Macaca fascicularis: one gene and its partners. The protein of the gene in region 2 interacts with the protein of the main gene of each other region in a pairwise test. Links are inferred from orthologs where the notes say so. Each region holds a gene or a part of one and is shown on either strand. Other genes may lie near its edges.

Region 1 (2,257 bases), on a different chromosome or scaffold from region 2:
TGATACTTGGGATGGTGATGGGATTGTCCGCAAAGGTATTCTACTACCATTCGAGTTTTCTTGGGGAAGGCAGTGTGCCGAGCGCGTGTGAGCGTGTTTGGGGCTTGTCCAAGACTGTCACTGCTTGAAAATGGGCTTTTCTTCGAATCAGAGGTGGCGAATTTTCTTTGCTTTTCATTTTTTGTCTGGTAACTTCATTTCTCAACCAGTATGAAGTTTGTTACAACTGTCATTGGAAATGCAAATTAAAGTTGTGCCTGGTGTTTTGAGTTACACTATTCAAATCCTCTACGGTTTTGCGTTTCGTGTGGAATCTGGCTTAGTACTTGTAGCTACCTTTTGCTTTCAAAGCACTGATTTAAGAAGTTCTTGAAGAAGAGGAATAATTGTTCAGGAGTCAGGATTAGATGTTGAGGACTCCAAGACCAAATCTCCGCAGGTTATGAATGTGTTACTCCTCCTGCGCAAAGAAGGTAGAATAAAGTAGAAACTTGAGAGAGCTGAGTTGTGAAAACGAGGGGGGAGCTCCAAGAAGTTAACATAGAAGGCATAGTTTAGAGACATTAGTTTAGGAAATATACGAAATGGACTTCTTTCTGCTTTCTGCATGGTTTATTCCTTAAACCATGTTTTTTTGCCTCAGGTTGGTAGTGGAGAATGGACATTTCTTTTTCTTTTCATTCTTGAATTGGGTCGACTCTATAGACTTTAGAAGGAATTTGTGTGAAAAATGCTCTAGTTCACCACTGAAAGCAGAAACTTTTATCTTTGGTAGTTTGTGAAGAACACATTATAAATTAGAAATTTACTATGAGTATGGAAACACAACTGCTTATTTGTATCTGGATATTAGTGTGCTGATTTTGTTATAAGAAGCACATTGAATCAGTTGGCAGTGCTTTTGAAAATCAAGGTCTGTCATGTAAATACAGATTTTTAAATTAGAGGAAATACAGATAATTAAAACGGCCAGGATTTAAATACACTGCGTATGTACCTACACTACACTTATTTGTGCATAAAACTTGTTTTGTGAGTGAGCCCTTCAGCTTAAAAAAAAAATCCTCTCAGGATTTCAAATGTGAGTACTGTTACATCGTTCACTGGACTATACATTGAGTCTTGTGTGTGTGTGTTTGTAGCTACGAAACACCAAGAACCGTTGTGTACCTGATACATTTATTTTTGCATCTCATAGATGAATAATAAGGTAGTTTTAAAATTCTGATTTATACAGAAAGTTACCTTTTATTTTGCGATTTCATTTTAGAGTCTTAATTTTTTTTAATGCCTTTATTTTTTTCATCATTAATCTAATGCTTATAACAGCACACAACAAAAAGGCTGTAGCACCAAAGCCATTCTCAGTTTCTTAAAAGGTAGACATTCTCCTTTATGGAAACCACCTATGAACTGGTAACTGAGCTTTCTTTAGATGAGAGTTATTCTCCTGCTTATACTCAATATTCCCTGCGAAGGCATGCTCCATTTTGATTGTTAGATTCACAAACAGGAAGGCATTACTTCCTCTTGATTCTGCTTCTTAAAAGTTGGAAAAACTTGTAATGTTTATGGCATGGGGTCTCTTGTTTACAATCTTCCTCTATGATGTGGTCCCCAGCCTCTCCTGGAATTGGACTCTGGCCAGGACCCCAGCATCATTGTAATCCACTGATGAAGGAGGTCATTATTAGGTGGTTTAGTCAATTTGTGACTTGACAGGATTTCCCTCCCCCCACCCCCGCAAAAAATGCTTCCTGTCATTTATTTTCTCTGTTTTTTTCATCTTTGATTTCCTTTTAGGATTTCAGATGCATGCCAGGTTTCCACTGATTGCCAGAACTCAAGATCACTACACATGGATCCCCAAAATCAACATGGCAGTGGCAGTTCGTTAGTTGTGATCCAGCAACCTTCTTTGGATAGCCGTCAGAGATTAGACTATGAGAGAGAGATTCAGCCTGCTGCTATTTTGTCATTAGACCAGATCAAGGCCATAAGAGGCAGCAATGAATACACAGAAGGGCCTTCAGTGGTGAAAAGACCTGCTCCTCGGACAGCACCAAGACAAGAAAAGCATGAGAGGACTCATGAAATCATACCAATTAATGTGAATAATAACTACGAGCACAGACACACAAGCCACCTGGGACATGCAGTACTCCCCAATAATGCCAGGGGCCCCATTTTGAGCAGATCAACCAGCACGGGCAGTGCAGCCAGCTCTGGGAGCAACAGCAGTGCCTCATCTGAACAG
Region 2 (4,235 bases):
CTGAAAGGAACAGTAGGTTCTGTGAATTCTCCTAAAATCAGGAGGGATGTTAAGGCCCACCAGAAAATGTGTGCTGGCACCCAATCTGGATTAAGGTGTTAACCCGGCACCAAGTCTCTGGTCCAGAATTATCTGCAAACATATTATCCTGGCCAGGAGCTCCCCAGATAGGATCAGAAAGGAAGAGACTGTAAATGGAAAGAAAGATAAGCTAAGCATGTGCTTTGGGTAAGAAGTCCCAGCCCAAGGAGATGCCTGGGCTGTGGTCTGGGACTGGAGCCGCCTTAGTGTGAGGTAGTCAGAGTGTCTGAGGTAGAAGACCCCGGGGAAGGAACGCAGGGCGAAGAGCTGGACTTCTCTGAGGATTCCTCAGCCTTCTCGTCGTTTCCTGGCGGGGTGGCTGGAGAGATGGGCAAGAGACCCTCCTTCTCACGTTTCTTTTGCTTCATTCGGCGGTTCTGGAACCAGATCTTCACTTGGGTCTCGTTAAGCTGCAGGGATGCAGCGATCTCCACCCTGCGGGCACGCGTCAGGTACTTGTTGAAGTGGAACTCCTTCTCCAGCTCCGTGAGCTGCTTGGTAGTGAAGTTGGTGCGCACCGCGTTGGGTTGACCCAGGTAGCCATACTCTCCAACTTTCCCTGGGGCAAAGTGGGAAGCCATGAGATGGAAAGGTAAAAATTTTTAAACCGACTTGAGATTACCTACACACTTCATGGCAACACTCAGGTAAAGAAAAGATCAAGAACTCAACACAAATCGGGCTGTGGAGGGTGAGTGATGAGGTGTAAAGTGTTAACCTGAAGTCAACCATTAGCGTGGTCAGATCGGTGATTAATGGAGCCTTAAGATATTAACAGAACACTACCGTCACAATAACCACCCCCACACACTTCCTACTTCCCAAATGTATAAAATCCTTGAGAACACGCCAATCCCTGAGGCTTCTTTGCCCCAACACCTCTGGGTACCCTCTCCATGCACTACAACACTAGTCTTAAAGCCTTTAAAAAAAAAGATAATTATTAATTTTCCTTGGAAATTAAGCATACCAGCTCCTTCCAGATTAATCAAGGAGCATCCACCAACCAGCAGGACTGACCTGTTTTGGGAGGGTTTCTTTTGACTTTCATCCAGTCAAAAGTCTGCGCTGGAGAAGATGTCTCCGATGCAGGGGAGCGACAGGCTTCTTGGTGGCTGGCGTGGAGAGGGGACAAGGAGTTATTATACGTAGCCAGGGCCAGGCTCTGGTGCTCTTGTCCATATGAGTGGTGAATGTACTGAGGCGAGCCCACCGCGCCCCCGGCATAACGCTGGTGGTGGTGGTGATGCTGTACCATGGGAGATGAGAGATTTCCAGAGTAAACAGCGGGAGCGCACTGGGGGTACCCACCACTTACGTCTGCTTCCTGGTTTAACGCGTAGGGGCTGTAAGGCGCACTGAAGTTCTGTGAGCCATAGCTTGGACCACAACTCGAGTGGGAGTAGGACACCCCCAGGTTCCCGGAAGTCTGGTAGGTAGCCGGCGGGGGGTGGTGATGGTGGTGGTGGTGGTGGTGGTGAGGCGAACCGATCTGCACCCCCCTGCCCACTAGGAAGCGGTCGTCGCCGCCGCAGCTGTTGGTACTGACCGCGCACGACTGGAAAGTTGTAATCCCATGGTCCGAGGGGTAGGCTTGGGCTGAGCAGGTCCCCGAGTCGCCACTGCTAAGGATGGGGTATTCCAGGAAGGAGTTCATTCTTGCATTGTCCATCTGTCACTGAGTGACCTGGTCCTGCGAAGCCCTGGGTGACCGTGCCAACTTTCTCACTTCCTCCATGGGGCCTGAGAAGAAAAATGATATGAATGTACAGTGCGCAAGAGGGGGGGGGCGGGAGGGCGGAGGACGCTAGGGGAGGGGCACGTGACGGTGTCAGCCAATGGCTGAGCCTCCTGCAAAAGTTTGCCGGCTTCCGCGGTGATGGATCACCGTTTCAGTGGCATTTAAATCCCCGGCGCTCCGCCGTCTAGGTGACGTGCAGTCGCCCCCCCAGGCAGCCCAGGCGGCGGCAGCTGCTGCGGCGACTGCAACGGCCGATTTGGAGTGCTGGAGCGAAGAAGAGCAAAGGCTGCCTTCTGCGCGCGCCCGACTCCGCTGCCCGCCCCGCCAGGCCTCCGGGAGGTGGGGGCTGAGAGGCGTCCCCCGCTCCCGCCCCCTCCCCACTGTGCACTGAAAGATGAACTGGCGAGAGGTGAGAAGGGAAGAGGGCTCCCGGCTCTCTCGGGGCGCGAGTTAGTGGGCCGGAGTTCGCCGGGTGGCCGCAGGTTCGCGGGCCCAGCCCGGAGCGCACCCAACCGGAAGGCGGGGAATCCGGCTGACACCGAGCCCCGGGTTCCCAGGCCGCCTTCTCTGCTCTGAGGCTGGGCTGGGAGACCATGGGGCTGTGAGGAGCGCACAGAACCGTGGCAGGGGGCGAGGCTGGGCCACCGGCTCTCCAAGCGCGGAATGGAGAGGGAAGAGCGCAGAGGGCTGGCTGGGAGGAACTCGGGTGGGGGTGAAGGAGACGAGGGCAAGAAAAGAAACTTCCCTTCTTCCAGGAGAGTCTCCGAAACCCTCTCCCCACAGCCCCCGCTCTTCATTAGCATGGCAATGAGGAGTTTCTGTAATTCGACCGGGGAAGGGGGGGTGCGGAAGAGCCCTGGAAACAGGGATTGCCGGAAAAGGCCGGGGGCGACCGGGCTCTTCTTCCCCACCCTCCCTCTCTCCTCGCTCTCCGCCGTTTCTTTCCCACTCAGTTTTGCAGCGGGAGCCCTCCGGGATGCGGAGCTACTCGACCGCCGGATTTTTAGGGGTAGGAGGCGGGGGAGAGAGATGACGCTGGCGGACGTGGCCAGCGTGGGGGCCGGGCCGTGCGCTGCAGGCCATCTGCCGGCGCCCGAGACCCAGGAGCCTCCGCTCCCGCGTGGGCCTCGCAGGGCCGGTCCACAGCTCCAACAAAGTAGCTGAACTCCCTTCGTTGCGTTCCTCTTTTTCTGGAGGGGAATGTTAGAAGAGAGAGAGAGCTTCCTTTTGTAACCTTCCTCATTCTGCTGCGCGTCTAGAGTGGGTGCGGGGACTGGCAGGTGGGAGGAGCGGTGGACAGATGGCTGATGGTGGACAGAACACTTTACCCCAACGACACCTCCTCCCCTTTCCAACTGGCTGGGTAGTTGCTTATGAGAACCTTCAAGTCTTTCCTTAGAGGGACACGTGAAAATCTGAGCGTCATCCCAGGCCAAGGGTCCTGTTCCCCATCACCCTCCTTCTACCCTGACGCTGCTGAGGTCGTTAATTGTTGTTTACTATTAGGTTTCACGTCAACCCTGGGCTTGTAGAGAGGAAAAAGCCAAACGGAGACCAATAATTGATGCAGTCTTGGGTAGGAGAAATCGAGAGCTCGTCCAGGAAGCTTTGCAGCCAATGCTGTATAAATTTTACTCCAACCATGTGTACAATGTTGGAATCAGATGGAATTTATAGTGAGGAATGTATGTGGGTTTGGGGTTTCCACTCCCCTTCAGCCTTTCCTCCCCTGTTAGAACAAGGAAGGTTTTTTTTTCAAGGCAGGCACATTTCAAATATGTTAGTCACCCTTTCAGTCTTCTGTATTCTGTTCTCCACCTACTGAAGCTCCCCCAAACCTGTCCCCTCAAGAGGGAAAACCCATGCTGACTCTGGACTCCCTCAGTAACAATGAAACATTCTCCCCAAACATTTCCTTTCAGGTTGGTATTTCTCTGTGACTTTGATCCATTCCAAGCATGGTTAAGAGGGAGCAGGGGCAGGAAAGAGCCGCTTCCTGGGGTTGGGCAGCCACCCCTGCCCCAGTTTCGGCTCCTGGGAATCATCCTTCTGGAGAAGGGGAAAGGCAAGGCGGTCCTCCTGGAGGTGGCTTCCTTGGGAGCGCCAGCTTCCAGCGGCAGGGAGAGAAAGAGCTCCTGTGGGGGAGTGGGCAGGATGTGAGGAGGTCGGTGCTGGCTATGAGAGCAATCCTTCCTCCAAGCCTGAGCAAGTCAGTACATTTTCCCCCGCTGCCTCATTCCTGTACCTTGGTTGCCCTCCTCAGCCTGGGTTTGCAGGACCCCCTCGGCTGCAGGGCGCCTGCCACAAAGCCGACCCCGGCAGGAGCCACTCTCCCTTTGCTAGTTCGCTGCTTCGGCGCTGCTCTCCCTCAGCCTCTCTTCTCTCCTGGCCTCTTTTCGGGGGTATCCTGGGT
Region 3 (3,500 bases), on a different chromosome or scaffold from region 2:
TCAGGCCTGTAGGTGGTCTGGATGCCATCCTCAATCTGGTCCACCAGGATCTTGGCCGACTGCAGGAATGCCACCTGGCCAGTCTCCTTCAGGGCTTCCTTGGAGTAGGCGATCAGACCATCCATCTCGTTCACTTTCATGGTTGTAACATACACATATTTTTCAATTTCCTTCTGCCTGGACACTTCTAGATTCTCTATCTGCTCCATGATGATCTTCTCTTTCTCCTGAAGAATGCTGCGCAACTTGAGAAAGCCATTTCTGATCTCTTTTCGCTTTGCCTCCTTGTCAGCTTTAAAGCTGTTTTTTAAGATGTTGAATTCCATTAGGTCATTATCAATTTCATATCGGACTGCAAAAATGCCAAGTTAGTTACTTTTAAAATTTTCATCTCCCCAGGTGTCAAAGCCAGTAGCAAGCTAGAACAAATTACCCTAGGCTCCAAGGAGGTGAATGAAGAGGGAGGGAAGGCACTTGTAGTTGGGCTGAAACAGGCTAGAATAGGTTTATGAAATGAATTTGGCCTCCTTAGTACACCTTCCCCTTCTTCTCCCTCTGATCCTTCCCTGGGATATTTCTATCTTGTAACAGTAATCCCTATGGCCTTGGGTCTGAGACTGGAAGTTCAAGCCCACCCTTGATATTGGTTTTTACCAGATTTCAATTGTCTGCAAGTTGGACTTGAGAAGAGGTGAAGTCACAAAGTGACTGGTGCCTGCTTTTCCCTGTCGGAAACCTAAGCTTTTGCAATGGTGAGAGGAAGAACTAAGTTTCTGCTGACTACTTCTAAAGGTTGTCTTGCATCATTCGCTAAGCCTCCAGCCCTATACAACAGTGGGAAATTAGCAAAGCTTCCCTTCATTGAGGTGGCTCTCTTACATGCCCTTTCCCCCCTTTGTTTGTCTTGTGGTTCAGCTATGTCACTTCTCTTTGCCTTTCCCCCACTGCTTTCAAAAAAGAGTCTGCTGTCACACTTCAAGGAAAACCAGTTTATCTTGTGCCCCTCATATGGCATTTGGATTTTAAGTTCACTCAGTCATTCAACAAACATTTACTGGAGTCCTGTTACATGCCATGTATCTTTTAGGCACTAAGGATATGGATGTGATTATGAGAGGGCATCTGTGCTCAAGTTATGAATAAATCCAAAGATACTATAATTGAAGGATGCTATAGCAGGGTGAGCATGTGGCACATCTCTATCTGTGAAATGGGCTTTATGTGAAAGGTGAAATGAATACCTTTGTTAGCTTTAGAGGATTTGAGGCATTAAGGAGCAATTTGAAGAGTATCAACCTTCTGTGGCCGTTAGAAGAATGTCAATCTTCTACAGATAAGATTCTTCTCATGAAGGTAAACTCTTCAGTGAATTGATGGGCAATAATCCTCACCAAATTTTACTCAGAAGTAGGGATGACTAGCTATTTTTGGACTTGGTTCATAACACTATCCTGGTTCATAGGAAGCTGGACTTCTGTGAGTGGTGGTCATTATAACAAGGGTGTGCACTTGAGTATGGGAAACCCTAGAGTTCTGTCAGATCATGCGAACAGGGACCACATTACCACTATGACTATGGTGTGTAGAGGTGAGCAAATGTATTTGTTGAGTAAAAGCCATTCTTTCCTGTCTTCTAACATCTCATTGGTGAATGCCAGCAGTGTCACTCTCTGGCTAACTCCCTGAAGCCCCACTGTTTTCTTGCCATCTCCTTTCTCACAGTGGCTCAGAAAAGATGAGGTGATGCAGGTGAGACTGAAAGGGAAACTACTAGTGTGCGATTTCAGTGCTGAGAAGTGCTTCTTGCCCTCCCCAATGCACTGTGACTATGGCAGCCAGAATTCTACTTTGTGCATTATTTTCTTTGACTATTCAATAGTTACCTACTGTTAAAGATACTTGGATAGGAAATTTCTTCCTGTATGAGGGATTAATTAGGCTTATGTAGGGCAAAGTCCTGAGAAGCAGGATAAAAATTTCTTAGATGAGGGGAAAAAGGCATCTCCAGGAGGAGAAAAAAGACAGAGGAAGCCAGAAATGTCCCATCCCAAACTTCTACAAATATGAAAGCTCTGCAAGAGCTGATTTTAAACGAAGTCAAATCAAGCTCTCTTTTTAGGTAATACACTTAAAATTAGTTGCTATTTATTAAACACTTTTTATGGACCAGATCCATATGTTATTATATATCACATATATCTTCTTATAAGGAAGATATTGTTTCCACTTACAGATGAAAAAGCTTGAGGCCCAGGGAAGTGAAGTGACTACACAGTGTTACACATCAGGTAAATGGGAGAAACTAGGCTCTGTCCCTAATTCTATTTGTCTAGCTCCAAACTAGGTTCTTAATCGCTTCAGCTGTGGCTCTCAGCCCTCTGTGAGCACCAGATTAACCTGAAAGAGTGTTAAAAAAAACCTCTTCCCTTGGACTCATCTACTAAGATTCTGAATCAATGGGCCTGTATTGGGGCTCAGGAAGCCAGGCAAGGCAGTGTGCAGTGAGGTGTAGAATCTAACCCAGGGAATCTCCTGGGATCATGTTAAAGATGCAGATTCTGGTGCACTAGGCCTGGGGTGGGTCCTGAGATTCTGCATTGCTAACAAGCTCTCAGGTGATGCCGATGCTACTGGTCCTCGAACCACACTTTGAGTGGCAGGGACCTAAACTTTTGAGCTCCCTTTATTCCAGTGGTTCTCAACCTTGCCTGCACCATAGAATCACATGAGGAGTTTTTTAAAAGTCCGTCTTGCTGAGCCTGCACCTCTGTGTGGATGGGACAGGGGCATCAGTTTTTAGTAAAGCTTCTAAAATGGATCTTCTCTCTAGGTCCCCAAGTTTCTCAATGTGTATTCCCAGATCACTTGCTTTTGAATAACACGGAGATCTGTTTAGAATGCCAATTTATGGTACCTCCCAGAAAAGTGAATCAAGTGCTCACGAACAAGTTTGAACCCTGGTTAAAAAAATGTTGTGTGTCTGTTTCTTTCTTCGTCAAGGATGAAAGGTTAAATTATTTACTTATAGCTAATATCTAATTTACCTATTATCCCTTTTTCCCTTTCCAACTGCTGGGTTCCTTGGAATTTGGACAGGCATTTTCCCCCCACCTAGAATTGAGCTTTGTTGTCTGACTTTTAGGTGCCCTGGACTCAGAAAACTATCGTAAGTTTCACATGTATTAAGGACAAGGTTCCCTACAGAGGGATGGAAGGCACAGTAGGCTGTAGAGAGCAGCACCCTTGCCATGCTTGGCCAAAGAATTCAGACAAGCCCTGGCCTAGGGAAGCAGTGAGTCCCACCTTCAGAAAACCCTTTTGGAACCAACAGTTCTACCATTTTCTTGATAATATGTGGCTCCTGCAGGGTTCCTTTAATATGAAGTATTCCCTGGTGGTGGTTCCAGAATTAAATAAATGTCAATTGACAAGCAATGTTTCCAGGTATGTGGCAATTGAGAAAACTCGAGGTATTCCTGAAGCTGCTGAGAAGTCAGGGG
Region 4 (3,461 bases), on a different chromosome or scaffold from region 2:
GCTGTTTTTTTATAAACACACTCTTGGAAGTGGCTGGACAGCTGTGGTCACTCACAGGGCAGGCAGGGTGACCAGGATGGTAGAGCCCATGCTGTGTCTTCCCAGCTGCTCTCCCTAAGAGCCTGGGGTGGAGGCACCGCCACCCACCCGTGTTCTCTTTCCAGGGGTGGGCCCACATCACCCTCTAATATTTCCATCGGTGGGTGGGGGGTGTCGCCTAATTGGGGCAGGTGTGCCAGGATCCTCAGGCTACTGGGAAGGAGGCCAGAGATTTGCTTTTTGGCCTCTGGTTGGGGCCAACACATCCCCAGGACAAAGCTCTCTGTGGCCTCAAAGAAACCACCTGCCCAGCCCCTCTCCCTTGGAGTGCCCTCCCCACCCTACTCCCAGCTCCACTTGGCCCCCTTTGCCAGCCGGCACCCGGCAGCGGGTCTGGGTGGGGTGGCCAGGAGGTGAGAGCCCTCCCCCCAGGCCCCGAGTCCATCCACTGACACAGCAGCTCACATTTCATTTTTATTCTGCTGGGGGTCAGGCAGCAGCCCCCACTGAAGCCCCACCCAGCCTCCGGGCTGCCTGGCCTGTGCCACGGGTCCCAGTCTCCAGCAGAGAGTCCGTGAGCTCGTACCTTCCCTTGGCTGAGGGCCCACCTGGCCTTGGGATGCCGTTGGGCTGGCTAGGGGTGGATTGACACAGAAGACCACAGCCCACCCCACACCAGAGCCCTGGGAGCCTCCTGAGGAAGGGGAGGAGGAAGAGCAAGAGGGCCCTGCCTGGCCTTCCACTGAGACACCAAAGTGGTGTCGACCCCCAGCATGTCGCCCAGGGGCATGGGGGCTGCACGGCAGGGTGAAGGGCTCAGTGCAGCCTGGGGCGCCGGGGCGGTCACGAGTCTTTCTTGCAGGAGCCTAGGGTTGGATGAGGCTAAGGTCAGAGGTCACTGCTCCCCATAGCCTCCCCGCCCAGCCAGATCTGACCCCTTGGCCTTTGGTCACCCCCGACCCCCAAGCCTGGGTAGCCCCTCTAGGCCAACTGGGCGCAGACCCGGGAGGAGGGCTCTGGAGGGTGGGGGGCACTCACAGGACCCCAGCTGCTCCTCCAGGAAGGAGATCTGCTCACTCAGGGAGTCGATACGGCCCAGCTGCTGGAAGGAGTGCACCAGGAGGCTGCCGGGGTCCGGGAGCCCGTGCTCCAGTGCCTGCGAGGCCAGGCTGTGCAGTGGGGCCAGCACCAGCTGCAGCTTCTGCGGGTGCAGAAGGGTGGTGACTCCGGGCCGGCCCCGCCCTCTCTGCTCCACCAGGGTCTAGGGGGGACCCCCCGGGGAAGGGCTCCACAAGCCTCCAGCCCCAGCCCCTGCAGCAGGGCTCCAGGTGTCCACTAGAGGGGGCTGCTGTGCCAGAAGAGCCTGCGGCAGAGTGGGTGCCTGGGGCATCAGGCTGGCCGGGTGGTCCCAGCCTTGGGGTCCCCGGCAGAACTAGGGGAACAGCTGGACCACTGGCCAGTGGGAAGACTGGCAAGAGCTCTTTGTCCTGGTGGGGATAAAGGTGGTGGGGGGTGGGGGGTCTTGTCTGGGTCCAGGCTGTGTGTATGGTCTAGGGGGCTGTCACGCTTGGTTCCTCCAGCCCTGGGGGTCCTGGTCAGTGTCTGGCTGCCTCTGCCCAGTATGGATCCAGGCCAGGGCCCCCTCGGCAGTCAGCAGCAAGGAAGCTGCCTCCCCAGGGCCAGGACCTTTTCAGACCACCCCCAGCCATCTGTGGGTCGCGACCATGTCTCAGGAGACTATGGAGCCTATATCCTGGCCTGGGCTTCCGCTGTCGCGAGGACCTGCCCCACCCCAGGCCTCACCTGCTCCAGCAGGTCCACCCTGGACTGCAGCCTCTGCACTTCCTCCTTCATCGCACTGTCCACTCCTGGGGGCAGAGCCAGGCGCTGGGTCAGGGTCGGCCGGCTCCCCACCCACACCCCCAGGCTCCCTCATTTCCCCAGGGAGAGGCAGAGCCCAAAGACTCAGATCCAGGCCTCTGCCGGCCCCGACGCCTGCCTGGCGCTGGCCAGAGGTCTCAGGGCTGTGCCACCTAAGTACATCGGGGCGCATGGCTCTGCGCAGCTGCTCAGGGTCCCGGCCACGCTGAGGGAGGTCGGAGCTGTGGTGTCAGCGGCGCTTTCGATGCGGTGCTGTGGACAGCGCATTATTACTCACGGTACGAGTTTGAAGTGTCACAGCGCGTACCAAAAGTAATAATGTCCCATCACCAGCGGGGGCGTGGCGTCTTCCAGAATGCTGCACTGCACGCAGACGGGCACTTCCGCCTTCTTGGCTGACCGTGAGGCTCCAGGCAACCTGCCCCCAGTTCTCAGGAACCCACCTGTCCTCCCGCCCCGTCTTCCCTCCCTGGAGAGGGAGCCCCCACCACCTTCCACCCAGGTTCCAGTGCCCCTCACCGTGCCTAACACACAGCCACATGGCAATGTCCACTGGCTGCCCACCTCCCCAGGCCAGGCCCAGCCAGGGCTGAGTTTACCTGTTAGGTTGGGGGCCACCCTGGGGGGCCCTCCCTTGGACACGCAGTGTGTACCATCTGCAGACAGGCTGTGCCCCTCCCAACACTGGCACCAGTAACTGCCGGCGGTGTTGACGCAGCGCTGGGGACAGCCGGCCCCCCCAGCACTGCATTCGTCCACATCTGTGGGAAATGGGGTGTCAGGCGGCCATGCCTGTGGGAGGGGTCCTGCCGACATAGCTCCCTTCACAATCACTCACTCATGGGCCAGCAGTAACCCCAGGACATGCAAGGAGGTGCCCAGGCCCCTTCCAGGGTCCCCCAGGGTGGAGCCAGCCTCACCTGACTGGCAGGTGTCACCCTGCCATCCTGCAGGGCAGCGGCAGCGGCCAGGCTGGATGCAGCTCCCTCCGTTCCGGCACGGCGGCTGGCATATTGCTGTGGGTAGGGGAGGCTGGTCACCAGCTCAGTTGGGTCCCCAGCACCCTGTGGGGGCAGCTGCTAGGGAGTGGGTGCTCTGTGGCAAGGTGGTGCTTTGTTCCGGGTTTGAGAAAAGCAGCAGGAGCATTGCTGGAAGACTGGGGAATAGCTGCCCTTCTGACTAACACCAGGCACCGAGGGGCATAGCCCTCACCTGCTCCACAGGCCCCGGGAAGCCCGCTGGTCCTCTTCCAGCCGGGGCAGCATGCGTACCGAGGCCTGGCGGGGGCCAGCCCGGGGCTGCGGCGGTAGGCGGTCCTATAGATGGTTCTGTGGGGTGGGCGGGACAGCTCAGAGGAGCATCCTACTCCCCCTTAGCCACCCACTGGGCAGCTAGAGTCCCCTCTCAGAGTGGACAGAGTCACCCCAGCGTGTCCCCAGGGGTCTTCTCCCCAAGGGATGGCACTGAGGGGTCATTGCACAGCCGTTTCCCTGCCTGGGACTTCCGGTGCTGGCCGGGACTCAAGCCACAGCAGGAAGGCC
Region 5 (3,500 bases), on a different chromosome or scaffold from region 2:
CACATGCACACACACGTATTTGCACAGTCTCATTAATTTTTTTTTTTTTTGAGACGGAGTCTCGCTATGTCGCCCAGGGTGGAGTGCAGTGGCCGGATCTCAGCTCACTGCAAGCTCCGCCTCCCGGGTTTACGCCATTCTCCTGCCTCAGCCTCCCGAGTAGCCGGGACTACAGGCGCCCACCACCTCGCCCGGCTAGTTTTTTGTATTTTTTAGTAGAGACGGGGTTTCACCGTGTTAGCCAGTATGGTCTCGAACTCCTGACCTCGTGATCCGCCCGTCTTGGCCTCCCAAAGTGCTGGGATTACAGGCTTGAGCCACCGGGCCCGGCCTACAGTCTCATTAATTAATTCAACAACAAAACACTATACTGAGATAACCAAGGGAGAATTCTAACCTGCCAAGCTGGGCTGAGCAGAGCCTGAAGGATCTGATCGGGCACCTGTCCGTGTCCCTGGGTCTGACTGGGGACGGTGGGGCTGCTTTTGTGCTCTCACTTGTAGCACAAAAAGCAGGGTAGTGAGCTGAGGCTCCCGAGGGGACAGGGGTGGGGTTGAGGTGGTGTCTGGCATTCTGTGGCCGCTGCCTCACCTCACTCTCTCCAGAGCCCCGGCTGTGATGGGATCCTTGGCTCTGGCAGGCGTCCTGATGGCTGTGGAGTCTGTGGGGGTGATGATTCTACCTGTCGCCTTGTTTCGGGGAACCTCACTGACCGAGGGGGCCCCCTGGGCTATCAGAAGATCTTGTGGATTCCAGCGGGAGCCTCGCGGCTCCAGATTGCCCAGCTCCGGCCTAGCTCCAACTACCTGGGTGAGCACCCAGCTGCCTCCCTTTCACTTCCATGTCTGTTCAGCCCTCCATACCCCCACTCAGTGCAGTGAGCAAGCCAAACGGGGAAGTCCAGGGTCTGGCCCCTCCCCTTGTGGAAGGTGTGAGGAAGCTGAGAGGGCTTGGGGGGCTCTTAGGTTCTGGTGGGAGCTTCTATAGGCTGAGGACACAGTGTGGGAGGAGGAAAGTATTATCACCCTGGAATTTCCCAATCTCTCACCTCTGACCTGCAGCACTTCGTGGCCCTGGGGGCCGGTCCATCATCAATGGGAACTGGGCTGTGGATCCCCCTGGGTCCTACAGGGCCGGCGGGACCGTCTTTCGATATAACCGTCCTCCCAGGGAGGAGGGCAAAGGGGAGAGTCTGTCGGCTGAAGGCCCCACCACCCAGCCTGTGGATGTCTATGTGAGCCTGGGGCCAGGGGCAGCTGGATCCTGGGGAGGGAGGCTGTTCTCTCTAAGGGCAGAGCTGTGGTTGTCAAGATGGGAGATAGAGCTGGTGGCATCCCCCTCTGGCCACCCCCAAACATTCATTATCTTCTCTTCTCCCCAGATGATCTTTCAGGAGGAAAACCCAGGCGTATTTTATCAGTATGTCATCTCTTCATCTCCTCCAATCCTTGAGAACCCCACCTCAGAGCCCGCTGTCCCCCAGCTTCAGCCAGGTAAGACTCTGACCCCTGCACTTGGAAGGAGGAGGGAGAAGCTGCAGGGGTGGCTCTGGGGCAGTGGGGTGGCATCTGATTCACCTGCTCCCCTGCACAGAGATTCTGAGGGTGGAGCCCCCACTCGCTGTAGTGCCCCGCCCAGCCCGGACCCCAGGCACTCTCCAGCGCCAGGTGCGGATCCCCCAGATGCCCGCCCCGCCCCATCCCAGGACACCCCTGGGGTCTCCAGCTGCGTACTGGAAACGAGTGGGACACTCCGCATGCTCAGCGTCCTGTGGGAAAGGTGAGACATTGCACCTTGGACCAGCACCTCAGTCCAAGCCCCCCAACTGACACTCCTGATCCTGCATCCGGGATAGTGGGGCCACGCCCGACCCTGCATCTGGGACACCACTGAGCTTGGGCTCCAGCCTCCTGCCTCCCTGGCTGCCTTCTCACCCACTCAGGTGTCTGGCGCCCCATTTTCCTCTGCATCTCTCGTGAGTCGGGAGAGGAACTGGATGAACGCAGCTGTGCCGCGGGTGCCAGGCCCCCAGCCTCCCCTGAACCCTGCCACGGCGCCCCGTGCCCCCCATAGTGAGTATGGCCCACGGGGAGGGTTAGGGTACTGGAAACACAGCAGTTGCCCCCAGAATCTTACCTGAATTCTGCACTCAACGCGACATCTCCTGGCTGCAGAGAGACAACATTAGATTAGAAAGGCGGACATTCGGTAGGCAGCAAGAAAGCCATGGCAGGCTGAGCCCCCCAGGAACCCAGACTCCAAATGCCAAACGTGCCCACTCTCCTCTGAGGCCCCCATGTCCAATGTGTCTTCCATCTCCCCTGCCATGGCAGCCCCACATATCTCATCTGTGTCTCCATCTCTTCCGTGCCCTGCTGGTGCCTGCAGCTGGGAGGCTGGTGAGTGGACATCCTGCAGCCGCTCCTGTGGCCCTGGCACCCAGCACCGCCAGCTGCAATGCCGGCAGGAGTTTGGGGGGGGTGGCTCCTCGGTGCCCCCCGAGCGCTGTGGACATCTCCCCCGGCCCAACATCACCCAGTCTTGCCAGCTGCGCCTCTGTGGCCATTGGGAAGTTGGCTCTCCTTGGAGCCAGGTGAGTGCGCCCGGGCAAGGTGCCGGGGAGGGGATGGGCACCGGTGAACAAGAGCAGCGGTTTTTCAACTTCTTTTTCATCAGCAGAAACTATTTACAAACAGGGTTTCATATGGACCCCCAATATAGAAGTCAGATAAGGGACTGAATCAGGGATTGGGGGCCCGGGGCCCTAGGGCTCAGCCTCCTCCTCAGCCCATGAAACCATGTGACTGCTGGGCTGGGGATCGAAGGCAGAGCCTGGTTCTGAAGCCCTAGAGCTGGAGGCTGGCTGAGAAGCCCAGCTCCCTGGATTCCCCTCGCCCCCTCAGTGCTCCGTGCGGTGCGGCCGGGGCCAGAGAAGCCGGCAGGTTCGCTGTGTTGGGAACAATGGTGATGAAGTGAGTGAGCAGGAGTGCGCGTCAGGCCCCCCGCAGCCCCCCAGCAGAGAGGCCTGTGACATGGGGCCCTGTACTACCGCCTGGTTCCACAGCGACTGGAACTCCAAGGTGAGCCCCGAACCCCCAGCCATGTCCTGCATCCTGGGTGACCATGCCCAGGACACCTCAGCCTTTCCAGCACAGCTCAATAAACTTGTATTGATCAAGTGCCTGCTATATGCTTGACGCTGGGAACTCAGAGGTAAGTGAGAACAACTTCCATGAGGGGCCCAGTTAGGATTCCCCGTCCAGGCCTGGTACCTGGGGACGTTCCCTACCGCCCAGGATTCGGACCCAGGATGCATCCCTCCCTGCCCCCTCTCCTGTCCCTTGTGCCAGTCACCAGCAGGCCCCTCACGCAGGCCGCTCTCCTCCTCCGCAGTGCTCAGCCGAGTGTGGGACGGGAATCCAGCGGCGCTCTGTGGTCTGCCTTGGGAGTGGGGCAGCCCTCGGGCCAGGACAGGGAGAAGCAGGAGCAGGAACTGGGCA
Region 6 (3,500 bases), on a different chromosome or scaffold from region 2:
GAGCTCAATGAGCCCAGCCCCCTCGTTTTACATGAGAGTAAATTGAGGCCAAGAGAAGGACGGTGACCTGCCCACCTATCTGGTCCGTGGCAGAGCAGGCCTGGAGTCCAGGCTTCTGCCGCACCCCTCTTGACCGGGCCCATGCCACCATGCTGCTGCTGCTGCAGCCTCTGTTTTGTCGACTCTCAGGGGCCCTGCAGCTCTAGGCCAGACCTCATAGTTTTTGGCCCATCAGCTGTTTTTCAGCCTGTGCAATGGGGCTGGGAGCGTGGGGTGTGGGTGGGGAGCTGTGACCGTGAGGTTTCTGGGAGGGGCTCAGGCGATGGGCAGGAGCAGAGGAAGCTTGGGGTGGGCTTGGAGAGTGGGACCGGTAGAGCAGCAGACAGGGTGCCAGGCCTGAGGCACTCCAGGGAACACAGCATCACCCCAAAAGCCATATTGTGGGCTCAGCACTCGTGGGGTGCTGCATCTGCAGGAGCGAGCTGCTGACCAGGCTCTGTGGTCAGTCAGGCCTGAGTGCTCTGGCCACAGCACCACTACGGTGTCCCGGCTGTGGTCTGTTACTCCTTTTTCCATCTTAGTCCTTTGGGGAAAGGACCCTCCAGCCTGAGCTGTGAGCAACCGCCCACCAGGGCTGCCCAGTGAGGCCAGGCAGGCTGTGTACTGCACGACTCCATGATACCCTTCAAGCGGTCACAGTACCAGTGGTGCCCCGTGGACTTGTGGAAAGCAGTGGCCAGGCAGGTCATCTGAGTCCTCCAGTGTTTTTAGCTGAAATGATGGGAATCTCTTCATTTACTCTGTGCTACAAGCACTGGTTGCAAGCTCGGTATTGAATTTGGAGGGTGGGCTTGGGCAGGCATCTCTGAAATGAGAGTGATCTGAAAAAGTAAACCATTGCCCCCAACTCTGGGAAGCTCAAAGAGAGAGCGAGCCATCTATATACTGTTTTTATCCCACTACTTTGGAGAAGGACTACTGCAGCCCAAGCTATGAGCAATGGCTCACCAGAGCTGCCCAGATTAACCGATTGAGTGTGTGAGTGCGTGGGGAGGGCCTGAGAGGCTGGAGGGACCTGAGTTAGTGTCATTTAATGCTAGTGTGAAATTTCCCGGTCCCAGCTGAGTGTTTGAAAATCCACTCTGTTTTCCGTAGAGGGACTTGTGGAGGGGGGGGTCCTTTGCTGCTTCAGCTCTTGGGGTGGGGAGGAAATATGCCCATTTTCTCCAATGCCCGACCCCATCCGTGAGCCTTCCTGGGCATCTCTGCCTCTCTCTCCTTCTTTTCTTCTGCCCCCCACAACCCCCCTGCTCCCATTCATGCCTGTTCTTCGGAGCCACGAGCCCTGTGTCTTTAAGGAAATCACAGCTTCTCCTGTTTTGCAGCCCTAGCCTGGCTGGCATTTCCACGGTGTGTGAGTGGCCCCTCCCCAGCTCCTGTGGCCTCCCTTCTGACCTCAGGTGGGGTCACCTGGCAGGGGAGCCCCACCAGGGGGTGACTTATATCAGGGTGGGAACGCGGCAGCAGTGGCTGGGCCGGCCGGAGCCAGGGAAGAAGGGCAGAAGCAAAGCAGAAATGTAACAGCAGCCCCGGTGATGCGGAGGCTGCCGGCTGCCCCTGCTCAGCCCACAGCCTCTAGTTCCTTCTCTCCTCTCCCTGCTCTGCCTCTTCTCAGTGACCTCTCTCTTGTCACCTTCCTGGTGCTGTGATGTTGGTCTGCAGATGGGGCCTGTTATTCTTGCCTTGAGACGGGGATGCTGAAGCTCAGAGCCATTCAGTGACTGCCCCGGTCACACGGGGGTCAGCGGGCAGAGGCCCCAGTCCCCTTGCCCTCCCCAGGTGGGGTGACTGCAGTGTGTTCTACTTGGTCTTGGGCTCCCTGGCAGGGCTGAGCTTGGGCGCCCTGGTGGTAACATTCTCGGCAATGCAGCTTTCCCAGCTTCCCCAGCTTCCCCGTCTCTCTTCCTCACTCTCCTGCCGAGGTTTCCATTAGCTCCCGTTTAAACTACTCACCCTCAAACCCTTGTCCCAGGCTCTGCTTCTGGGGAGCCCAACCCATGACATCCTCCACTGGGCCCCTGGACTGGCAGCCTGAGCGTCAAAGGTTCGTGTCCCCAGGTGACCTGGCTCATTTTTGGGGAGTGATTTCAAACCCAACCCATAGGGGTTTGGGAGGAGCTGAGTTGGGGATTTTAGTGCCTGGAGCCCAGCACCCTATGGACTGTGTGGAGGGCCAATGTGAAGCCTTCAGATTTAATTAAAAAGGAAGGCGAGAGCTTGCTCCTGCACACTGGCACGTGCAGTGCTAATGATCGGGAATGATTAGAAAGGAAGCCGTGGAGGATTGCAGGCTGGCTGATGGGATCTTGGTCGAAGTGCCTCATTTTCATTTAATTTTCTTCTTCACAAGGTCTCCCCTGCCCAGGCTGGGAGCAGAGGGAAGAGCAGGCGCTTCAGCCCCAGGGAACCTGCTCTCGTCAGTTGATCTTTGGGAACCCAAAGACCAGTTTGAGATTCAGAACTCATGCATTATGGTTTCCTACAGGAGGGTCCAGGGAAGAGGGATGGGGAAGAGATGGGGTTAGGGCCCAGGGGCTGGGCAGGAGAAGGAGGGCTGGGGAAGCAACAGGGCCCTGGGCCCCTGAACACAGGCTCCCAACTTCCCTGCATGTCCAGATCTATGGGGAGCAAGGAAAGTGCAGATTCCTGGGGCCCGGACCCTAGACAGTTGAATTGGCAAATCTAGACCAAGGCCCAGAAATCTGAATTTTAACAGCCTGCCTAGAAGATCCAGATGCTGCTGGGTGATTGGCCACACTTCTAGGAACCCTGATCTAAAAGTCCTGCCTGGAGCTTGCTGTTTGGGGGCTCTGGGGCTTCTGTCCCAGTGCTGGGCCTTTTCTGCCATCTCACAGATATGAGGGTTGTTGGGCCCCAGGACACCTCAAAGATTACATCTAAAGCTCCATTTTACAGTTGACAAAACTGAGGCCCAGTGGGCTTAGGAAATGATCCCAATGTCACATGGCTGGTGGAGACAGGGCTGCCCAGGGCTCACTCCACCACGATGCTGTTCTCTGTACCGCAAAACAATGCAGCAAAGGGGTCAGGAATGACTGGGAAGATAGGGCTGAGGCTGGGGTCTGGTGTTGGTGCTGGGGGGCTTTGGGGCCAGCTTTGTCTGAGCTGCCCCAGCCTGGACACCAGGTGGCCTCAGGTGGCCTCCAGGCTGCTCGGGCCTCCCCTAACCATACCCACACTCTGCCCACAGTGATGGGGGGCCCTGAGTCCCGTGGCGTCCTGCGCAAGATGAGCGACCTGCTGGAGCTGATGGTGAAGCGCATGGACGCACTGGCCAGGCTGGAGAACGTCAGTGAGCTGCACCGGGCTGGCGGCGACCTGCATTTTCCCGCAGACAGGTGAGGGGACGCGGGGAGGAGGCATGCGGAGCAGGGGAGCGGTGGCACCTGCCACTCTGCCCGGCATGCTGTCCATCATCT
Region 7 (3,986 bases), about 3.4 Mb from region 2:
CTGAGGCAGGAGAACTGCTTGAACCTAGGAGGCAGAGTCTTCAGTGAGTCGAGATCCAGCCACTGCACTCCAGCCTTGGCGAAAGAGTAAGACCCCATCTGGAGGGTGTCGGGGGGAAGAGGTATAATGGACAGCAGCAAACCACAGGTGTGATAGGAGAGAATACTAAGTTGAGATCAGCCTCCTAAAATATGAATCCGATTTCAGGATCATTCATTCATGTGACTGTCAAGAACGCCTCTGAACAGGAGCAGGACTTTGGGGAGAGGGTGGGGTTTGTTGAAAGGGCACCGAGAAGGGAGGGGGGTGGTACCCAAACAATTTGTTTACATAATGTTTTTTGGACCTGAAATATGTAGAAAAGTACTTTGAAAATAAAGTACTGTACCGAAGTTTAATTATTTTTCTTATTGTTTGCATATTCTCCCTCCCAGATAATTTACAGAGGGCGCTAAAGCTGATCCCCTGGGAGCTTCAGAGTTTAATGACTCCGCCTGACGATTTCTATTCTTTTCCACAATGTGCTAAGTCAAATTATGGCCAAATTACCAATCGCATGGTGATTCAGCTTCTAAATATGTTTTGCAGTGTTTCCAAAAGTTAAAAAAAACAAACAAATCTTTACCTAAATTGTTTTTACATGCTTCACCTTAAATCAGTTGTTCGGTTCCTTTGAAGAATATGCTGCTTTAGCAGCCCCCAAAGTGAACCCAGATACCCAGGACTACTGATTGTTACATCAGAGTTTTTGAAAACGCCAATACTAGAAACAGGTCGACAGTTAAGGAGAGGCGGGCCTCAAACTAAAGCAGAACCTTCTCAAACCCACTTATATTTCAAGAGATGGATTAAGCGAAAAGAACTGTACAAATAAATAAGCTATTTTCTATGCGCCTGTTATAGGCAAGGCACTGCACTCCCTTGTCACTTGTTAATTTACAAGAAGACTTGTCGGTCCAGGGAAAGGGAGAGGGGATCGAGGCAAGGTTTATGGAGGGCGGCGAACTGCACTATGCGTGGCGCGGGGCTGAGCTTGCGGAGCCCGGGGTTCTGGTGCCTGGCGCCAGCTGCCAGGTAGGGGCGCGCGTCCTGCGCAGTTGCCACGCGCGGCCTCCTTGGGCTTCAGGCCCGGCCAATCAGGAGGCGGGCGGACGGGGCGCAGCGCCTGGAGGGGGCGGGGCCGGGTGGGGCTTCGCGGTCGGCGGGCCAGCAGGGAGGGCGCCTTTGGCTTCCCCACCGGCCATGGAGCGGCTGACGTTGCCTCCCCGCGGCGCGGCGGCAGTGGACGAGTACCTGGAGTATAGGAGGTGAGGCTGTGGCTCCGGGCCGGCCCTTCGCCGCTCCGAGGGGCCACGATCCCTGGGCTGAGGGCGAGGGCAGGGGCCCGGCGGGTGTCCGCGGGGGTTCCCTGAATCTTTGCCTGGGTTGTTGGGGGAGGCCTAGATTAATTCCAGTTTCGTCTTTGCCTAATTAAATATTGTAGGGCCACGCAGTTCTATGCAATGATGAGTCTTCCGATGCCATTTAAGAGGTCCCTCTGCTCCCTTCCAAGAAGGATGGCTAACTCTAGTTGATACAGAGGTCCAACTGTTTTTTAAATGGCCATTGAAAACATTCACATCGAGTACTAGAGGCTATAGAAGTTAGCATGCATCAAATTAACCCAGTAATAGGGTCAACCGTGAACTTCTGAACGCACTCCCCACCCCGAGGTGCTGGTTTTAGGAGAAAGGCACCGACTGGTGTTTTGGTGTTCTGGAGAAACCCCTTCCGAAACTGGAAACGTAGGCGCTCCTTTGGCCTGAGGACCCGGCTAATTGTCCTGGGTCCTGACCGAGGCTGGTGCACCTGCAGCGACGCGCTCTTTTTCCGCTTCCTGGGGGTTTTGATCGTCCGGAATCTGGGCGGATGGGAAGTCCTGGAGAGGGCCGCCAGAGGACGCGGAGTTGGGGCTGGAGGATGTGTGTGTACAAGCAGAGGGGAGACGCTCCAGGCTCGGCCAGGGAGGCCGGAGCGAGCGACAGGGCCTCCTCGGCGGCATCGTTGGCGACCCACATGACCCAGAGGTGTGCGCGCAGACGGCCCCCCAGCTGACTGCTCTCCCGCGCTCCGACTGCCCCGTTGGTGTAGTTTTCGGTAACCCTTAGAACTGCCTGGAGATTCTGAGCTAGAAGAATAAGGGCTAGGAGCTTGATGGGGTCAGTTCCCACGCCCGGTTCAGGGTCAGAACAACCACCATCCAGTCGTCGCGCAGAGCAGAGCCGGCTCCTTGAGCCTCCAGTTCTCCAGAGCTATTGCCTGGGAGCAAGTTGCTGGAGCTGGTGTTGACTGATAACTTGGATATTTAGATATGTGAATTGTGGGCCTCCAGTTAATTCTTGCCTAGCTCCGAACATGTTAGGGCAGACCTGGTGGGAAATTATGTATTTATTTATTTTATTGAGACAGGGTCTGACTCTTGCCCAGGCTGGAGTGCAGTGGCGCGATCTCGGCTCACCGCAATCTCCACCTCCTGGGTTCAAGTGATTCTCCTGCCTCAGCCTCCCGAGTAGCTGGGACTACAGGAGCCCAGTTGATTTTTGTATTTTCTGTAGAGACGGGATTTCACCATGTTGCCCAGGCTGGTCTTGAACTCCTGGGCTCCGCCCGCCTTGGCATCCTAAAGTGTTGGGATTACAGGCCTGAGCCACCGTGCCCAGCTGGGAAATTATTTTTGCAATCATAAATAACTTGAAACATTTCCCTCTGAAAGAGATTATTAGGTCCTTTACTGACGTCAGGATTTTAGAAAAGTGGGGAAAACAGGACTTGAGTGCCTAGATGTGAAAAGGTGGGCTGGGAAGGTGGGGTGGGAAGATGAGTCAAAATATGAGTTTAGAAGGAAACAAACTTTCCTTCCTAAGAGTTTTCCTGGATTTGGTCTTGTCTAGGTGCTTTGGTGGGAGTCAGTTGGGAGGGGAAGCATGCAGGCTTGTTACTCACACTGTGGGAGTAACATATATACACATATATATTTATACATTTATATACAGGTATATAAATATATATATATATATATTTTAGATAGAGTCTTGCTCTGCTGCCCAGTCTGGAGTGCAGTGGCGCTATCTCAGCTCACTGTAACCTCTGCCTCCATGGTTCAAGCAATTCTCAGTGCCTCAGTTTCCAGAGTAGTTGGGATTATAGGCGCCCACCACCACGCCCCGCTAATTTTTTCATTATTGGTAGAGACGGGGTTTTGCTATATTGGCCAGGCTGGTCTCGAACTCCTGACCTAAAGTGATCCGCCTGCTTCAGCCTCCCAAAGTGCTGGGATTACAGGTGTGAGCCACTGTGCTGTGAGTTTTAATCTGCATTTGAACAAGATCCCCTGGGGATTCTGTAAGTACAATAAAATTTGAGTTGCACTGGTTTAGTACTTAAATACCAATGACATCTTACTTTTAAAAGATCTTTTAAAGATCCGTATTTATCTTAAGATCTTAATACCTGTTGGTATTCTTAATAGGTACAAGAAACTGAAATGGCCCAAAATTTAACTCAGAAATAAATGCCCTTTGTTTCTTTGCTATTATGTATCTAGATTGTCTGTGTAAAGAAGATAGTTTTGATTATTTCATAGCTTATACATTGGTTTTCCTTTTTTTTTTAATGGCAAGCACATAGAGCAATGGTTTTTATTTTCTACCTCAGCTAAAGGCTTCAAAGTATGGAAAAAAGCATGTAGCATTCTACAAATATCACTTTTTGTGACTTTTCAAGGGGAGTATTTTCAGGGAGAAATGTCTTCAGTTTTGGAAAAACTTCTTTTAGGTGTGCTTTCTTTTCCTCCAGGGAGGCCAATTCTTAATTTCGTTTCATAGAAATAGTGGGGGCTTAATATTTTCCCATAAAATTTTGGGTTCTTACTTCTGAAATTAAACAATGATAAACCTGATTACCTAATACACAAATGTAGTTTGAGCTTTTGCTGAACCAAGTGTGTA

Evidence for each region.
Region 1: the proteins of HOXA1 (region 2) and SPRY1 interact in binary tests that used the Homo sapiens proteins (3 or more experiments, as listed by UniProt). The two-hybrid records come from large-scale screens. The link is inferred for Macaca fascicularis from reciprocal best matches to the Homo sapiens genes HOXA1 and SPRY1.
Region 3: the proteins of HOXA1 (region 2) and TRIM42 interact in binary tests that used the Homo sapiens proteins (3 or more experiments, as listed by UniProt). The two-hybrid records come from large-scale screens. The link is inferred for Macaca fascicularis from reciprocal best matches to the Homo sapiens genes HOXA1 and TRIM42.
Region 4: the proteins of HOXA1 (region 2) and EGFL7 interact in binary tests that used the Homo sapiens proteins (3 or more experiments, as listed by UniProt). The link is inferred for Macaca fascicularis from reciprocal best matches to the Homo sapiens genes HOXA1 and EGFL7.
Region 5: the proteins of HOXA1 (region 2) and ADAMTSL4 interact in binary tests that used the Homo sapiens proteins (3 or more experiments, as listed by UniProt). The two-hybrid records come from large-scale screens. The link is inferred for Macaca fascicularis from reciprocal best matches to the Homo sapiens genes HOXA1 and ADAMTSL4.
Region 6: the proteins of HOXA1 (region 2) and MGAT5B interact in a two-hybrid assay, tested with the Homo sapiens proteins (2 studies listed by BioGRID). The two-hybrid records come from large-scale screens. The link is inferred for Macaca fascicularis from reciprocal best matches to the Homo sapiens genes HOXA1 and MGAT5B.
Region 7: the proteins of HOXA1 (region 2) and FAM221A interact in binary tests that used the Homo sapiens proteins (3 or more experiments, as listed by UniProt). The link is inferred for Macaca fascicularis from reciprocal best matches to the Homo sapiens genes HOXA1 and FAM221A.

Annotation. Positions count from the first base shown.
Region 1 is NC_088379.1:128,449,869-128,452,125, forward strand, and holds part of SPRY1 (protein sprouty homolog 1), read left to right. Parts: exon of another isoform or gene 1-35; intron 36-1,803; 5' UTR 1,804-1,858; coding exon 1,859-2,257. UniProt on the Homo sapiens protein: Inhibits fibroblast growth factor (FGF)-induced retinal lens fiber differentiation, probably by inhibiting FGF-mediated phosphorylation of ERK1/2. Inhibits TGFB-induced epithelial-to-mesenchymal transition in lens epithelial cells.
Region 2 is NC_088377.1:103,176,087-103,180,321, reverse strand, and holds the start of HOXA1 (homeobox protein Hox-A1), read right to left. Parts: upstream 2,801-4,235; 5' UTR 1,970-2,800; intron 1,848-1,969; exon of another isoform or gene 1,825-1,847; 5' UTR 1,754-1,824; coding exon 1,102-1,753; intron 641-1,101; coding exon 285-640; 3' UTR 1-284. UniProt on the Homo sapiens protein: Sequence-specific transcription factor. Regulates multiple developmental processes including brainstem, inner and outer ear, abducens nerve and cardiovascular development and morphogenesis as well as cognition and behavior.
Region 3 is NC_088376.1:43,541,331-43,544,830, reverse strand, and holds part of TRIM42 (tripartite motif-containing protein 42), read right to left. Parts: intron 353-3,500; coding exon 1-352.
Region 4 is NC_088389.1:2,680,368-2,683,828, forward strand, and holds the end of EGFL7 (epidermal growth factor-like protein 7), read right to left. Parts: intron 3,249-3,461; coding exon 3,133-3,248; intron 2,937-3,132; coding exon 2,841-2,936; intron 2,682-2,840; coding exon 2,520-2,681; intron 1,908-2,519; coding exon 1,843-1,907; intron 1,241-1,842; coding exon 1,078-1,240; intron 906-1,077; coding exon 883-905; 3' UTR 501-882; downstream 1-500. UniProt on the Homo sapiens protein: Regulates vascular tubulogenesis in vivo. Inhibits platelet-derived growth factor (PDGF)-BB-induced smooth muscle cell migration and promotes endothelial cell adhesion to the extracellular matrix and angiogenesis.
Region 5 is NC_088375.1:110,694,268-110,697,767, reverse strand, and holds part of ADAMTSL4 (ADAMTS-like protein 4), read left to right. Parts: intron 1-605; coding exon 606-810; intron 811-1,061; coding exon 1,062-1,234; intron 1,235-1,381; coding exon 1,382-1,493; intron 1,494-1,593; coding exon 1,594-1,779; intron 1,780-1,942; coding exon 1,943-2,072; intron 2,073-2,388; coding exon 2,389-2,593; intron 2,594-2,903; coding exon 2,904-3,080; intron 3,081-3,393; coding exon 3,394-3,500. UniProt on the Homo sapiens protein: Positive regulation of apoptosis. May facilitate FBN1 microfibril biogenesis.
Region 6 is NC_088390.1:83,314,170-83,317,669, forward strand, and holds part of MGAT5B (alpha-1,6-mannosylglycoprotein 6-beta-N-acetylglucosaminyltransferase B), read left to right. Parts: intron 1-3,271; coding exon 3,272-3,419; intron 3,420-3,500. UniProt on the Homo sapiens protein: Glycosyltransferase that acts on alpha-linked mannose of N-glycans and O-mannosyl glycans.
Region 7 is NC_088377.1:106,595,011-106,598,996, reverse strand, and holds the start of FAM221A (protein FAM221A), read left to right. Parts: upstream 1-1,186; 5' UTR 1,187-1,242; coding exon 1,243-1,307; intron 1,308-3,986.